Drosophila melanogaster: one gene and its partner. The protein of the gene in region 2 binds, or shares a complex with, the protein of the main gene of each other region. Each region holds a gene or a part of one and is shown on either strand. Other genes may lie near its edges. The genes, in order: Asx and sba.

Region 1 (8,668 bases), on a different chromosome or scaffold from region 2:
GGCGGACGGAATAGATGCGGTATTTGCCGTCGTTGCTGCTGTGGTAGGTGATGCATTGGCAGGACGCGTCATTGAGATGATATTTAGTGGCTTTGCTATGAATTTAGCCTGTGTTGTTGGTAGTGCAACATTTTGCTGCTGTTGTTGCTGCTGTTGTAGCAGATTGTTGTTGGCGGCCTGGGCGAGAAGTTGTCGCTGGTGTAGTTGCGCCTGCTGCAAGGCAAACTGCTGAATCTGCTGATGCTTTTGTTGTGCCGTAGCCTGCTGTTGATGTTGCTCCAGTTGTTGCTGCTGCTGCTGCTGATGTTGCTGTGCGATCAGGTTAGGAGACAAGAACTGTTGGGTTCCGTTGCGGAGAGCCACTGGTAATGTCTTGCCCAAGGAATTGCTACTTGTTGCTTGCTGTTGCTGCTGCTGCTGTTGCTGGTGCTGTTGTTGTTGTTGCTGCTGCTGCTGTGCTGCCGCCGCCTGCAGCGTGAACTGTTGTAGTAGTTGCTGTTGCTGTTGTTGGCGTTGCTGCTGAAGCAAAAAGTTGCCAATTATCTGACCATTGGAATCCACCAATATCTGTCTTTGCTGCTGTGCATTGGACTGAGCGTTCTGTTGCGGCTGTTGCGATGCTTGGTGCGGCATTTGATTAATGGTAAGACTGTTGGTGCTGCTGCATAGGCTTATGTTGTTGCTGCTGTCGTTGCTATTGCTACTATTGGTTATCACCGTGCTGGACACTTCCATTTCGGCAGCAGACATTGGTACAGCATCACAGAGCATTTCCTGGCCGATCTAGAAATGGGTGTTAAAACAAAAATGTATGTTAAAACTGCATTTTGGTAATGTTTTCATTGTCTGGACTCACATCATTTCCAAATTCACTATGGGCCTGCGGCATAAACGAATGCTGAGCCAATTGGACGACATCCTGGATATGCAACTGTTGATGATGCTGCTGCTGATTTTGTTGCTGCTGATGCTGCTGCAGTTTGTCCACTATTTCACGGACAGCTTCGCTGTCTTCATCAATTAACTGCTGTTCCTCCGTCATACATTCTACCACTTCATCGTCTTCATCCTCCTCTTGATCACCCTCATCTTCGTCACCGAGAACATCGTGGCACACATCATTGTGCATAATGTCGTCGATGACGTCGGCATCTTGCACTACATCCATCAGATCGATTGCTTCATGGCTTAGATTACGCTGCTGATCTCCGCTTGACTGCGAACTGCTTAACTTAATGTCGCCAAAGTTCCAATCGTGCTGCACATGCTGGTACATTTCATTGGAGTTCAACTCCACGGGTAACTCCTGTTGCTGCTGCTGTAACTTGGCCACAGTTGAAAGCATGGCTTGGACATTTGCCAACGTAGTTTCAGCTGCTGCTGCCAGCGTCAGTGGAGCCGTTGGTGCTCCGGCCGACGATGAAGTTGTGGGCGCGGTCGTCGTCGAGCCGGAATTGCTACTGGAGCACGAAGATGACATTGAGGCGGAGGAAGATGAGGACGATGTGCAGCTGGTCGATGTAATCGAACTGGCCGGCGTCGACCCAGAAATTGAGCTTGCAATGGGGAGCGGTGAGTCCTCCGGCTTATCACTATGCTCTTCCAGTTTATTAGCTGCAGTTGTCGCCGCTGCAAAGAAAACGTGTCATTTTACATTCTTTCAATGCATAAAAATAACTCTGATTACTGTTGGACGATGAAGATGAAGTGAAGAAGTTGTGATTGATAGTGGATTGATGTTCTTGAAAATAGGCTGCTTAAAACCAAAAAACAAGAAACATTAGTTACTTATTCTGGCAATTATACTAGACGAACATACCGTGATCGATAGTATCTGAGAAAACGAAATCATGGCTATTTGTTCCTGTCGTTATATCTGCCTCGTTTGAATTGTCCAAAGGCGCTTTGGTTTCTGCAATAATAGTAATGCCAATTTAAATAAGCCATTTATATGGGTGGAGTACTCTTAATATAGCTAATGCAATGCTATCTATATTGTTCGCTCTGAATAGCTCTTACTTACCAGCTGCTAGTTCGACGTTTTGTAAGTAGCTTACAAATTGGTTAGCCACATCCGGATTTGGTGCTAACGCTTCCGGCTTTGGTGTATGTGGGGTAACGGCAGCAATTGCTGGCATGGCAGCCGCCGATGCAATGGAGTCCACATCTTCCTTAGAATCCACTTGTTTCATGGCAACGATCATCTCCTTACTGCATTCAGATGGCTCAATTTTATCACAGGTACTGTTGATAAGTGGCTGATGTTGTCGCTGATGCTGTTGCTCGTCCTTGATTTTCATTTCGACTGCAGAGTGATCCACAACATCAACCATTGGAGCTGCGACAACATTCCCTGACGCATTAGGAACAATTTCGTCCATCTTCGGCTGCTTGCTGTCCTTTGATGTGCTGGGCAGCTCGTCGAGATCATCGTCCAAATTAATGGTCGCTATCGTTGTGGGTGCCTGCTTGCGCTGCGAAGGACTGCTCGATGGACGTTTGAGGACACGGCGTTGCTGTTCGTTAAGCACATTATTCTGGCTGCCAGTGGGTGGAAACGTGCTTGATTTATCTGCTACTGCCACTGCTACTGTAGTTTTAGCTGATGTCGTTTCGCACTTTGTGCTCTGCAAGTTTTTCAATAATATAACTGGGATATAAATAATGGGGAATATTTGGTAACTTACCAAATCAAATTTTAATTCAGTCTCATTATCACATGTTGCTTGTTGCAGTGGTTTTTGTTGCGATGTCGCTGGTGGTTTGGGCTCACTCTTAATGCTTGCCGAAAGCTTCTGATTCTTGCAATCGCTTTCTAACTTATCCTTATCCTTCCCCCTAGAATTCTTCTCGCCCCAGAAGGGCTCAAAGTGTTTCAGCTTCCAGGGATCCAACTTGTTCTTTTCGCGCTCTGCTTCCGTTTTAAGTTTCAGCTGGTTTTCGGGTGTAAACTCGCCTTCGCTTAGTCGTTCCCGCCACTCCAAGCAGGCTCGGGCAAAAAACTCGTTGTTTAGACAGGAGGCACTTAGCCTTATAGCCTCCGATGGACTGCCTCCACTTGCGCTACTGCTAGGTTGCTCTAGTTCGCTGGCCTCGCGATCCACGCTGGGCAGCAGTTGTATGAGATTGTATTGATAGAGCGGTGGCAAAAGCGAGAACGTTTGCTTGTTCAACAGCGCTCTTAAGTTGGTGGAGGCCAGTATGGAGTCGGGGGTCTCCAGGTCGATCTTTCCGTCTTTTGTTTGCTCAATCTGCGCTGCTGTCGTCAGCTTCTTATTGCTCCTCCGACGGGGCTTAACACTAAAACCGGGTATGGAGGCCAGGACCTCCCGCATGGTCGAAGCTTGAGAGGTGCCCGCCTTGCTGCCGGGTGAGATGGCGGATGGATAGCTGGAGGTGGCTTGGGCTTGTGCTGCGGCCGCTGCTGCTGCTGCTGCCGCCGCTGCTGCCGCCGCCGCTGCTGCTGCCGCTTTGACCTGTTGCTGTTGCTGAATGCGTCGGCTGCATATTAAACGCGTGGGCGGGGCAGGAGCAGTACTGACGGCAGCCTCTTCGCTGGGCGCCATCGGTTTCTTCTCAGGTGGTATTGGTTTCACGATAATGCGTGGCAGGTGGCGTCTGGAATAAAATTAGTATAGAAATTTAGAGATTCTCGTGGCGCTCGGGTAAATCGTTTTAGAACTAACCTGAGACTGTGTGTGTGCTTGGTAGACGGTGACACTTCCAGTTGCTCCAGCGCAAGAGGATCCTTCTCGTCGTCGTCCACCAGATTCACATGCTCCATTATCATCGTAGGCGGTGGAGCGGCCAACAGGGATTGCTGCTGCAGCATCGGCTGGTGATGCTGATCCGCTTGTGGAATGAGAAGTTGTTGGTGCTGCGACGACGTCGTCGTCGTCGTATCCGGCGTAATGGTTTTCATTGTTAATCGCTCTGCCTAATCTATTTACAGCGAACTTTTGATCCATGCACCCATGTCAAGCAAGTTTCTTCCGCACACACTGGAAATGTTGAGAAATAGATAATTTAATATTATTTTTTTGTTAACAATGAAATAGTTTTGTTATGTGATGGTTTATTTGGATATAAATTAAAAACAGAGCATTAATTCTTTACTTTAAATTGCTTGGCAACTTGACAATGATCATATACAAATGCAAAATGATGTGTAACAAAAATGAATGTAACTTCTTATAGTTTTCAAATTTAAATTTGTTTATTTGATTTATCCGTGTTGGGGTTCAGCCAATATTGCTTGTTTTTAACATTTTCAAGCTTCCCAGTCGATTTTAGATGCCATATTAGATGGCAAAACTAGTTTTTGGTTAATACTATAGTGCACGAAATTAATCCTGATCGGCTGCACTAACGAATTGTCCATTTTAAGGCAAAAAGTGTCTGTATAATTTTAACGTTGCGCCCTTTGTATATGTATGTACGTCATCTGTGTGCATGTATGTGCGCATATATTTCGTTAGAAGTGTGTGCGTGTGTTTTATTTTTTTATATGTAATGAAATTGCGGCTATACGGAGATTTTTCCGTTTGTTATGCCTTAGTTTTAATTATTGTTTTTGTTTTCCTCACGACTTTTCTCACTTGCCAGCAGTAATTTTAAACAAATCAACAATGTAACAGCAGTAACAACAACAAATACGAACGACCTGCAAAGTTGGTTATATTTTTTTCTCACGCACGCATACACATACACACAAACACACACAAATGCACACTAGCACATCGGAGAAGTAGAAAAATGACTTTTGTTCCTATTTAAGTAACTAATTGCGGGTATTTTACCTATTTATGGTACGGATTTAGATCTGTACTAGAGCACTATCTTTTGCATAATGCCGATTTCCGCCTCGTTAATGGCTCACTAAATTAAATATTGAATGGGGGAAATGTGAATGCCAAACACACAAACAAAGCAGCTACAAAATGATTCTTTTCTAGCCAACTATGCCGGTCCCTTTCTGGCGCACGCGTTTTCCCGTATCGGGCGCAGCGCCCGTTTCTCTCTCACACTCACTATGCAGAAAAGCTGCGTTTAATTGAATGAAATTGTTTAAGTTACTACAACGCAAACACTAGTCACTAATCACACCAACTAGTTAATGTTTTTTCGTGGCCAGTTTTAAACGCAAAACGCTCGAATTTCTGGCTGCCCTGCCAAGTCCGATGGGGTTGTTGATGTCGCATCCGATACATCGGATAGGAGCGGATGTATTTGCGCAGTCACTGCTCCCGCACCAGGGCTGCCAACTATCGATTGAACGATCAGGTCAAGAAGTAGCTAGAAATAAGCTGGCAAATATGAAGCGTTACGTACGTAGCGGTTATTTGATTTTAAGTTATGTTACATTTACGTACATATATAATATAATTGTATAACGTGTGCATACAAAATAATTGTTATAAAAATATACAAGCTCTAAGACCAAAATGCACTATAAATAATTTCTAAATGTTTAGACTCGTAACTTATGCAAATACGTAACATACGTATCATTTTACATGTTCAGATAAAAAAATATAGCTTTTATTTGGTCAAATACATTTTGCAAGATATTAACTAACGAAATACTTAAAAACCGCTAAAACAAAAAGCAAGACAAAAATCAAGCCAATATGGTATTCCACCCACTAAAACGGCGAACAAGTTTTCACATCCAATGAGCGATAACTTTGCACCCACAATCGATAGTTCCGCAGCTGCTGTGTGTGTTGGGCCGGCAAATTGTTAAACTGGCTGAAATTGTTAATAATGTTTTAAGAAATTGCGACACCAATTAAACCACCGCAATGTTTTCGATGTGCAAGCAGACGCACTCCGCCACGGCGGTGGAGTTTTCGATAGCATGCCGCTTCTTTAACAATCTGGATGAGAACCTGGTGGTGGCGGGCGCCAATGTACTAAAGGTGTACCGGATAGCGCCCAACGTGGAGGCGAGCCAGCGTCAAAAGCTGAATCCCAGCGAGATGCGTCTGGCGCCCAAAATGCGACTGGAATGCCTAGCCACATATACGCTCTACGGCAATGTGATGTCGCTGCAGTGCGTCTCATTGGCGGGTGCCATGCGGGATGCGCTGTTGATTAGTTTCAAGGACGCGAAATTGTCCGTACTGCAGCACGATCCCGATACGTTTGCGCTGAAAACTCTCTCACTTCACTATTTCGAGGAAGATGACATACGTGGTGGTTGGACGGGTCGCTATTTTGTGCCCACAGTTCGCGTAGATCCCGATTCCAGGTGTGCCGTCATGTTGGTCTACGGCAAACGGCTGGTGGTACTGCCCTTTCGCAAGGACAACAGCCTGGACGAGATCGAGCTAGCGGATGTGAAGCCAATTAAAAAGGCTCCGACGGCAATGGTCAGCAGGACGCCTATTATGGCATCGTACCTGATAGCACTGCGAGATCTTGATGAGAAGATCGACAATGTTCTGGACATACAATTCCTGCACGGCTACTACGAACCAACGCTGCTTATACTCTACGAACCGGTGCGAACCTGTCCGGGAAGAATAAAGGTGCGCTCCGATACTTGCGTTTTGGTGGCCATTTCGTTGAACATTCAACAGCGAGTGCATCCGATTATTTGGACCGTGAACAGTCTACCTTTTGACTGCCTACAAGTGGGTGTTTGAAAATGCCACTTACCTTTTAGGAGTCACAACGTTTAATGTGTCATTTTTCCCTTGCAGGTTTACCCGATTCAGAAGCCAATTGGGGGTTGTCTGGTAATGACAGTCAATGCTGTAATCTATCTCAATCAGAGTGTCCCTCCATATGGCGTCAGTTTAAACAGTTCAGCGGATAACAGCACCGCATTTCCACTGAAGCCACAGGATGGCGTTCGTATTAGTTTGGATTGTGCTAACTTTGCATTTATTGATGTCGACAAGCTGGTAATCTCGCTTCGCACTGGAGATCTATACGTGCTTACGCTTTGCGTTGACTCAATGAGAACGGTTAGGAACTTCCATTTCCACAAAGCAGCCGCCAGTGTGCTAACTAGTTGTATCTGCGTTCTGCACTCCGAATACATATTTTTGGGATCACGTCTCGGAAATTCCTTATTGCTGCACTTTACAGAGGAGGACCAGAGCACGGTCATTACGTTAGATGAGGTGGAACAGCAATCGGAGCAGCAGCAAAGGAATCTGCAGGACGAGGATCAGAATTTGGAGGAAATTTTTGATGTAGATCAATTGGAAATGGCACCGACCCAAGCAAAATCGCGTCGTATTGAGGATGAGGAACTAGAGGTTTGTAAACAATATACTTAAAGTTTTGAATTGTTTTTAAATTTGATCGTTTTTACAGGTGTATGGTTCTGGAGCTAAGGCATCGGTTCTTCAGCTGCGAAAATTCATATTTGAGGTGTGCGACAGTCTAATGAATGTAGCACCAATCAACTACATGTGCGCCGGAGAAAGAGTGGAATTCGAAGAGGATGGCGTTACGTTGCGACCACATGCGGAATCTCTGCAAGATCTAAAGATAGAACTAGTCGCTGCCACGGGTCACAGCAAAAACGGAGCTCTGTCCGTATTTGTAAACTGCATTAATCCTCAAATCATAACAAGCTTTGAGTTAGATGGGTGCCTCGATGTGTGGACTGTGTTTGATGATGCCACTAAGAAGTCTTCGCGAAATGATCAGCATGATTTCATGTTGCTTTCACAAAGGAATTCTACATTGGTTTTACAAACAGGACAGGAAATTAATGAAATCGAGAATACGGGCTTTACGGTTAACCAGCCGACCATATTTGTCGGTAATCTCGGACAGCAGCGGTTCATTGTTCAGGTTAGTTTGAGGTCGTATTAATGGTATTTTGTATATAATTATTTCTTTATTCATTAGGTCACCACCCGTCATGTCAGATTATTGCAAGGAACTCGATTAATTCAAAATGTCCCCATTGATGTGGGCTCGCCAGTGGTACAGGTGTCCATAGCAGATCCCTACGTTTGCCTGCGAGTGCTCAACGGTCAGGTTATCACATTAGCGCTGCGAGAAACCCGTGGAACTCCTCGTTTGGCTATCAACAAGCATACCATTAGCAGCTCACCCGCAGTGGTTGCCATTTCGGCATATAAAGATTTATCAGGACTATTCACAGTGAAAGGTGATGATATAAACCTGACCGGCAGCTCAAACAGTGCATTTGGACATAGTTTTGGCGGCTACATGAAGGCCGAGCCCAACATGAAGGTGGAGGACGAAGAAGATCTGCTCTACGGCGATGCCGGAAGTGCCTTCAAGATGAACAGCATGGCGGATTTGGCGAAACAATCAAAACAAAAGAACTCGGACTGGTGGCGACGCCTTCTTGTGCAAGCAAAGCCCAGCTATTGGTTAGTGGTTGCCCGTCAGAGTGGCACCTTGGAGATCTACTCAATGCCGGACATGAAGCTTGTGTATCTCGTAAACGATGTGGGCAATGGTTCAATGGTTCTTACGGATGCAATGGAATTCGTGCCGATTTCACTGACCACGCAGGAGAACTCGAAGGCGGGCATTGTACAGGCTTGTATGCCGCAGCATGCTAACTCTCCACTGCCATTGGAATTGAGTGTAATAGGCTTGGGTCTAAATGGAGAAAGACCTTTACTTTTGGTCAGGACTCGAGTAGAGCTGCTAATATACCAGGTGTTCC
Region 2 (8,892 bases):
ATATTTTGTAATAGTTATTAGTAAAAAATTAGTAAAGTAAAACAATGGTTATTGGCGTCTTCCCGGCGGCCAAGCTCGGCATTTTGGCCATCAAGCAGGTCAGCAAGCCGATAGCCAACGTGATTAAGTCCAATGCCAAATCGAGCCCCTTCTTCAGGAAGTACATATGCATGCCGCCCGCACAGTGTAAGTGGTGCGATGTGATTAGATGAGATTACGGGCTCTAATCCCACATTTTCAGTCTACAACTGGGTAGAGGTGAAGACCAAGATGTGGGCCCTGAACATGGGTGGTCGCGTTAATGTTCCACCGCTGAACGAGGCGATGGCCATTGAGCTGGGAGCCAATCTGCTTGGCGAGTTCATCATCTTCTCGATCGGAGCCGGTCTTTTGATTTTCGAGTACTCACGGTTGGTAAACAGAGATCCAAAGCCATTCCAGAGCTATATTGATCCAACCACTTTCCAGTCAAACCATCAAGGAGAACAAGAAAAACGAGTTGGCGCAATCGGAGAAGATGGAACTAACCAATATGCTGACGGAGATGAACTTTCGGCTGGAGCGACAGGATGCCCAGATACGAGAAATGACGCGAGTGCTGGCTGATCTAGGTTCCATTTCCTTTCAACCGAAATCAAGTATCACGTAATCATATACCAACTCCTTACAGATTCGCGAAACATTTTCCGGTGGCACAAGGAGCCGATTCAGGAATACGTGCCCTTCGATCCCGACACGCCGGACCAGAGTGCCAGCGCCAGGAATCCGAAAAAGTTCGACAGCTTATATGACCCGCAAGGCGGTATGGCCTTCCGCGCCCTGCACTTCCTGGACACGCAGATCTTCGTGGACGGACGCAACCGCAAGGCCAAGGAGGCTCTCCAGCACCTGGATGAGGTGGCCGTGCAGCTGGAGCAGTCTCTGGGAGAGGCAGCCACCGTTGCCGTTGCCAGCTCACTGCCTACAAAAGCAGCCGACCTTTGACCAAAGCGGCAGCTAGAGCAGGATCTGGCCCTGCTCATGATGGCAGTGGCGATGGAGGAACAGTAAGGCCGCCCGCTTGTACACATTCAACCTGCAGACCATTTCATCAGTGCTAGTTATGATCAAATCGCGTGTTACCATTTCGTACTTTAAGTATAAAAGTCAATAGTATTCTATAACTATTGGACGTTTGTAGTTATATTTATTAATTTTTATTGTTACCGCAGACAAACAACTAAAGAGATGCAAAACAGTGTACAAGATGAGTGTATAAAGTGATGGATGGGTTTACTCCTGGCAGACGAGGTCCTGCAGCTGGCGCAGTTCCTCTCCAGGGGGTAGCAGATCGTCCAGATAGTCGCAAAACGACAAACAGATGGCGTACAGACTGCGTCGCACTGCGCATCGAAGCACGTTAAAGCTAGAGCTGGATATCCTTATGTTGCCTATCACGCTACTTAGCTTATCTAGCTCATTTCGCAGCTTGTTGATCGCCTTGATGATAGCAGGCAAATCGTTCTGCACTACTCCATATGGATCCTCTTTGAGCGAGGCTGCGCACACCTGAGCCAGAGCCTGAGTCATATACACTACGGGCAGGGAGTTGGCCAGCAGAAACGTCGTCTTGGCACCTTCGGGTTCGTTGAATAAGTACACAATGCCGGGAACGCGCTGTAGCAACCGTTGTAGGGACTGCTCCAACTGCGTGGATACACGCTCACACCAGTTGGGAAAATGACGGATGCCATCCGCTGGACTTTCAACAGCAACCTCGCGACTGGGCGATACAATGGGTCGAATGCCGTGTTTCTGGTTGTATTGCCGCAGCAACACCTTCTCGGCCATCAAGCTAGTTGTAAGCGATTCGGTTATCTTCGGCATCGGCAGACTCTGGGCGCACTTGAGTATACTTATCTTCTGCATCGACTCGGTTAGTTCTTCGGTAAAGCTGCCGAGAATGCTCAAGCATTGGTCGCAGAGGGAGCGCCAACTTGCTGGCCGGTTACCCGGCTCAGTCAGCTGGAATATCTCTGCCCGTTGTGGCGAGTTCTTTCGCAACGCCAGCTTGTAGAAATGATGAGCAGCAAGGCACTGCACTACATACACATTGAAAACTCCGAGACCCGCTACCAAGGTTATATCCTGTTCATGGGCAAAAGCAGCTCGCGGTTTAGTCACCACCAGTGGCAAATCCTCCGAGAGCAGAATGCCGTAAAAGCAACGCATTAGGTGCATGTTGCTCAAAATCTGTGCGGTCAGCAAATAGCCGTAAAAAAGCAGGCGCACATTGGTAACAACTCCGAAGAATCCATCCAGTCGCTCGTCCATGTCCACAGAGAGAATGTGACTAAGTCTGTGGCATACCATGGGTCCGAAAAGACAAAATACGGCGGTGTAACTGATCGTAGGCAGCAGCGAACTTAATAGAGATTTGGCCAAACTGGCGTAGAGCAGCTCTCGCATCTTCTCCGCCCGCGATTGCTCCACAATGGGAAATTCAATGGAGATCTCCTTGCGCATGTGAACGGAGACAAAGTAGTAGCAGCCGGCGGTCATACCGATGCCTAATAGATAGACATTGTAAGCACTAATGCAATCCTGGCCATAGCACTTATATTTCAGGTGTCTGGAAATAAAAGGAATCATAGGTATTGACCGAATTCAAACCAACTGTAGGTATACTTACTGATAGTCTGTGTGCAGATAGCCCGTGTAGAGCCAGGCGGTCAGCAGACCGACCAGAAGGTGGGCGAACAGAAAGAGCACCTTGCGTGGACCGTAGTGCAGGAGCCACCGGTAGCGGGTTGGGCAGTAGCGTCGCTCCGACAAGTGCTGCTGGCAAAGAATCACACCGTAGAGCACGACGGAGGCCACCAGAGGGATGCTGGCAAACCAGGTGTACCAACTGGCTACCAGACGCAGTGTTCCCGTCACCCAGGCGAGCGGATGCAACAGTTGGAAGTTCACAAACAGCAGGAACACTGTGAGCAGCAGGAATTGGATGGCCACGCTGAGGAGCACGGCGCGCAGGCAGCGGCCGAGCAGCAAGAGCTTGCAAGCGTTGCTGGAGGAGCTAGCAGACATGTTTGCGCTCCGAACTGCTAGACCATCGAGGTATCACCAATAATTTGATTTAATTCTATAGTTTTCTAATTGATTTCGCGACTAATTGCAAATATTCGACGGTTGCCGACAACGCGCGCGTTGTTGCACTTTTAAGTGTGACCGCATGCGGAAAGTGGAGCTGCCCGTAATCGATAACTCATTTGATGTTCGTAGTGAGAAACCCTAATGGAAAACGGTTTTTTGAAATTTATCTTTTTAATTACAAAGCACAATTTTGTAAATCTAGAAAGTTCACCATTAAAATGGCTCATAAAAACGTATGACTAAATTAGTATATCTTCAATTTTCGACCTAATTTAAGTTTTAGTTCTCCTTATGCTTCGGTCTCAGGTAGCACTGGAAATAAAAGTTGGCGAACATGATAAACATGATGGTCGCGGAGCAGCTGACCAGAAAGAGGGTTCCCTGCGATGCAGTGCACTGCCGCTGCATGGCGGTTAAGGCGCAATGGCCAAACATGAGGAGGAACTGCAGCATTTGCATGAGGGTCAAGTACCGCTTCCAACGCACCGTATTGCCCTTGATGGCCGAATAGTAATAGGCATACATGAAGATATGAACGAATACATTGAAGGAGCACAGGAAGAAGAGTTGACCTCCGTAGCCATAGAATCGTATTATCAAGTATCCGGCGGATGGCATCAGGACGTGGTGGAAAACGTGCAAAAACGTTATTTGCGAGTACTTCTTGCGCAGCACGCAGAACACGGTGTCAAGCAGGTCAACGATCTTGTTTATGTAGTAAGCATAGCTGATGCAGCGCTCCCAGTTCTTCAGCGGATGATCCTGCTGCAGGACAGTCATGCAGCGAAAGTTGTACGGTTGGAATACCAACATGAAGTAGTATCCCTACGGAAGAAGCTTTTATCAATTGAAGAAAAGAATGTAGGCTCAAAATTTCAACTCACGGGCAGGAGCATCATTATATTGTAGAATATCTGGAACATGTTATAGTACTTAAGCACTTTTCGCAGATTATAAGGTTCTCGATGCTCCATGAACTTCCTGCCGGCCTTAAAAACTACCAGAAGGTATCCAATGAGGATAATTATGATGGGACCGGGTCCAGTTGCCAACGGCAGCTGTTTGGAGTCCGCATAGGGCGTCCTAAATATTTCCAACATTTCTGTTACCTAATTATTGTGTACTTTTCAATTTGACAAATAAAACAACTGATGAACCGCCTTGCTGTCACGTGTTTTCTAATGAAAGCCTAAAAATATTGTATGCTTACTTCTTAATTGAGTAATTTCCCTAGGCAAGTTAGATTGATTTGTGTGCAATACCAAATTAAATAAACTTAAATAAATTTAATTGCCACTGTTATTTGGAAACAGCCTTGCCATACCGTTGGCTGATCGATAAGTCCGATATCGATTCTAGAATCGATGATATAATCTGGCATCACCGAACTATCGATTGCTCAGGTCGTAGCTTTGGCATTTTACAGACGTCCGCCTTCGGTCACATCACATTTTGTTGTTGTCGCGGTCGGAAAAGTGCACGGAGTTACGGTCGTCGATTCGTCGATTTTCCGTTAAATACAGCATACAAATTCCAAAACAAATGTGCGCACTCGCCGCCGCCGCAAACGCAGCGCAATAAGGTGTGTAATGTGTCCAATTGGCCGCAAATGAAAGTGAATAAAAGTCATAAAATTCGTGAAGTTGAAATAAAAAAAAAAATATAAATTTTGTGTGCGCGTTTGCCAATGAGAGTGAGAGAGCAGGCCAGAAAGAGAGAATGAGAGCGAGCCATAATATTGCGTGAATCGAATCGAGCGACACAAAATTGTTGTAATTAATTCATATTTAATTGGCATTTGGCGTAATCCGAGTCTGTGCATAATAAAGCCCAAAGCGAAGTGCAGTCGTCAGTTGGTTGTCGTGTGTTTGTTGTGTGTCTCTTGTAGCGTAATGCGTATTGAGGTCACTTTGTACATATTATAGCAGCAGTAAACCGCAGCATAGGCACGCGTATCGTACATGTGCCTGTGTGTGTGTGTGTGTGTGCGATTGCCCAATACCCATACCAGTGCACCGAGATAGCCACCAATGTTCGTTTTCATCCCACTGCCCAAGGCGAACAGCTGCTCTACCCCCTCCCCCTCCTCTGCCCCTTACGCTCTGCTCTCGTGTTGTTTGTGTTGTCGCTGATCGCCGGAGCAGAACCGCAGGGCAGGTGGTGGCTATTGCCCACTGTGCCGTATTGTCCACCGTGCAGCAGAGGCAAACAAACAAACAAACGAACGGGCACGCATTAATTATACTACTTAAAATATGGTCTGCAAATTGTGCTAATCTTAACAACGCAGCGGAGAGCGAATGAGTGAGACAGAGAGGGAAAGGGAGATGGGAGGTGGTGTGGGTGATGCCTCCCCCTCGCGCGCTCTCTCCTTTCCTCTCGCTCACTGCCTTCGGTGTCTTCACTTCATGCTCCATTCACCTACTTTTACGCGCTCTGCGCTCTCTGCTCACCACTTTTCACTCGATTCGCCACTGCTGACGTTCGTTTTCTGAATTCCAAATGAAGTCATGAGATTGTACACCAAAAGAAATAATCAAAACAAACACTATTAAGCACTTAAGGGCTAATGATAGCACCTTTCTATGAGCGTAGCATTACGTTACCTTGATAAAGAGCACCTTTCTGTGGTCAAATGTTGTGCCACGTAAATTAATTAAAATATTTAAAATATATGCAAAAATTTTAAACATACAGATATTTTCCTACCCGTGTACAAACAACACAATACGCATCTAAACGCAAACGTCGTTGTCGCATTATTACAGCTACAAAAGAAGCAGAGAGTGGAATACAAAATAATATCATTGCAAAAAAAAAGTGAAATTAAGTGTTTTAAACAAAAGGAAAAGAAACCATAAAAAAAACATGAACATGACATGGCCGCGTCTCGTTTACACAATAACTCAAAATTAATTTAATATGCTGGCAAATGAGCAAAGCGAAAAGCAAGCTAAAAGGTGAGCGAATAGCAGAATAAGGGGCAGAAACTTAACAACGCATAAATAACAAAAGGTGCGGCCTACGATTTGTCGTTTATACGATCGTCCAGTTAGCAGTATCTATTTAAGTGCGACTTTGGGTTTACAACCTTGTGGTTTTTCCCCTTCTTGCCGCCTTGCTGTTGCTTGTGCGTGAGATGGCGGATAAACCAGATTTAGTCCACTTCCACGTTCATTACACGCGCAGCGCATAAACCCTGATTGGCCCTCAATTCGGCTACTTTGTAAGTGGTCAACTTGTGGAGCAAAACAAAGGCCGCAACGCAATTCCATTCGATTAAAGTCAATGAGTCAACCGAAAACGTAGAAACAAAGACATGAAGACCTCCACTGTAAATAACAATAGGTTAATTGTTTAAATGCAGAGTCATGTCTGAAGAGAACGGATTTTCCAAAAAATTTTTGAATATTTGAACGCATTTATGATATTAAAAGTTTTTGCTATACAATTGGAAGCAAGCCCTTAATTAATGGGTTTATAAGAATGTGTATGGGGAATTAATTAGAGTGTGATAGAGGTTATAATGCTTATAATTCTTATTTGAATAATACTCAATGTAAATGATTATTCTCTGAATGTTCTAGTCTTGGCTGTGACTAATCCGGGAATTCCCTTGAATTCTTTGCAGGCTTTGAATTGCGAAGGAGTTCTCCTGAACGGCTGCTTTTATCGCCATGGCCGCCGCATCTGCTGGCCAGCAACAGCAGCAACATCAGCACCAGCACAAGCTGAACATAGCTGGGAGTGCTGAGACGGTGGTCAGCGGGATGCAACATCAGCAGCAACATCAGCAGCAGCATCAACAGATCAATATGTTCAAGCAGCAGCAGCAAATGTTGCCTCTGCAGCAGCAACATCATCAGTTTTTCCAGCAGCAACAAACGAAATTTGTATCGCGGGTCGTTACAAGTGCAGCGGTGCATCAGCAGCAGCAGCAACATCATCATCAGCAGCAGCAGCAGCAGCAACACCAGCAACAGCAACAGATATTACCAGCTGGCTTGGTAAACGGCAATGGCAGCGGCAACATGATGCAAGTAGCAAATCTGCATCTGCAGCAGCAACAGCAGCAGCGAAACAGTCAGCAGCACATATTTGTCTGCCCCACCAGCAACCAGCAGCTCCTTTTGCAACAGCAGCAGCAACAGCAGCAGCAGCAACAACAGCAACAAACCAAACAGCGCCAGGCGCAAATAAAGTTGCCAATAAAGTCAGCGGCAACAACGGGAGTAACGGCAGCAACTGTTGCTGCTGCAACTGCTGCTACTGGGGCAACGCATTGCATGTCGACAACAATTGCGGCGCGTCAAATGAGTCAGAACAATCAGCTCTATGCCAAGAATGTTGCCAAAGCCAACAATGCCAGTAGCAATGGCAATATCAACAGGAAGACGGCCACTAGCTACAATGGAAATTTGGCCCCCGGCTGGCGTCGCTTGACCAACAACAATGAGGTGGCCTATATCAGGTGAGTAGTCGGTTGGATAGTATCTGGGTACATCTGTGGCCACAGGATATCTCCCAGGTTGAGCATTGCTTGTTGGCTCCGTCGCTGTGCTGTGTTGTACTGACATGACACTTACAGCACGTTTGGCCGGGCCGGGCCGGGCTAAAAGTCAATCTGGTTATTGTCTGGCGAACGCAAACGCATTCGAGAAGCCATAAAAATGTTCAGCGATCCCCTCGCGCTACAGGAAATGCCACTGTCCATGGGGGTTAGCGGGGTCAGAGCCGTCAGAAGTGTGGGGGGGGGGGGGGGGCGCATGTTGTTTAGTGGGCGTCTGGGGGGTTGCAGTAGTCGTGTCAGAAATGTTTTTGCAACCAGGCACAACAGCACAACATCAACAACTAGCAACCATCAACGGCTCGAGGGTAAATATTTACCTGGCATTATCTGCGAGTTATCATCAAGCACACATAATTACAAACGCAAATAAAATGTTTGCTCAGATATGCTGAAAAGCATCGAGTATGTGGATATACATATCTGCTTGCCCGGGTACTTGTAATTGTTCTGGCTGTCCAATCGCCCCCAGGGCCAAAAAAGAGGGGCTCAGTCACAGTATTTCAGCATTTCTTCTTGTTTTCTGTTTTTTTTTTCGGGCTCTGTGCAAACTGTTGGCGATGTTGGTTTGTGGCTGTTGCCGATGTTGGGTAATTGTTGATTTTATAAGTGGCTGGCACTTCTGAGCGCTTGACTCGTCTCGTTGGGATAGTTTCCCTCGCAGCTGTTGCCCCGGGCTCATTTGCCCAGAAAAGGGTTGCCTGGCTGGCTGGTTGGTTGAATGGTCTGTGGCACTGGGATAACTGCTTTTCGAACCACTTGTACGGATTATGGATGCGAATGCGAATGCCAATGCCTCGCTCAATTGGCAGATTGAAAGCTACCAGGGGGCATGTTGTTTGTTTTTCGAGCCGAGATTCTCATTATGACAGCCATGATTATGATTATTGAGCCTTGGCACTCGACTCACGTAGTTTGGGGCGTCAAGAAGTTGCAGCTTATCCGACGCAGTCCATTTACTGGCAATGTCACATTTCACTCAACCGACCAGCCATCCAGTCAGTCAGTCACTCTCTGGGCCATTACCCTTCCAGGACACGCTTTGAGGGCACCGCTGGCTGCCACGTTCACGTCCTCGCCATCAACGTCCTTTGCCCACTGGTATTTACTTGTGCCCGGTGACAACACGACATCGTGTGTCAAGCGTTGTCATTGTCCACCACCAGCAGAAGCAACTACAGCAGCAGCAG

What was found.
Region 1: sba (region 2) and Asx share a complex: the UniProt entries of both Drosophila melanogaster proteins name them as parts of the polycomb repressive deubiquitinase (PR-DUB) complex.

The regions. Positions count from the first base shown.
Region 1 is NT_033778.4:14,500,501-14,509,168, reverse strand, and holds the start of Asx (additional sex combs), read right to left. Parts: upstream 4,943-8,668; 5' UTR 4,800-4,942; exon of another isoform or gene 4,599-4,799; intron 4,085-4,598; exon of another isoform or gene 4,002-4,084; 5' UTR 3,923-4,001; coding exon 3,687-3,922; intron 3,619-3,686; coding exon 2,688-3,618; intron 2,628-2,687; coding exon 2,024-2,627; intron 1,913-2,023; coding exon 1,820-1,912; intron 1,757-1,819; coding exon 1,688-1,756; intron 1,630-1,687; coding exon 857-1,629; intron 784-856; coding exon 1-783. Other genes in the region: Cpsf160 (cleavage and polyadenylation specificity factor 160), read left to right, coding at 5,805-6,638, 6,708-7,271, 7,330-7,815, 7,873-8,668. UniProt on the Drosophila melanogaster protein: Non-catalytic component of the polycomb repressive deubiquitinase (PR-DUB) complex, a complex that specifically mediates deubiquitination of histone H2A monoubiquitinated at 'Lys-119' (H2AK118ub1).
Region 2 is NT_033777.3:23,918,721-23,927,612, reverse strand, and holds the start of sba (six-banded), read left to right. Parts: upstream 1-4,639; 5' UTR 4,640-4,717; intron 4,718-5,832; exon of another isoform or gene 5,833-6,095; intron 6,096-6,766; 5' UTR 6,767-6,812; coding exon 6,813-7,606; intron 7,607-8,892. Other genes in the region: CG13601 (uncharacterized protein), read left to right, coding at 45-186, 242-410, 469-611, 671-984; Ndc1 (nuclear division cycle 1), read right to left, coding at 1,273-2,611, 2,672-3,069; CG31141 (uncharacterized protein), read right to left, coding at 3,415-3,960, 4,020-4,235. UniProt on the Drosophila melanogaster protein: Non-catalytic component of the polycomb repressive deubiquitinase (PR-DUB) complex, a complex that specifically mediates deubiquitination of histone H2A monoubiquitinated at 'Lys-119' (H2AK118ub1). Important for maintaining stability of the PR-DUB complex.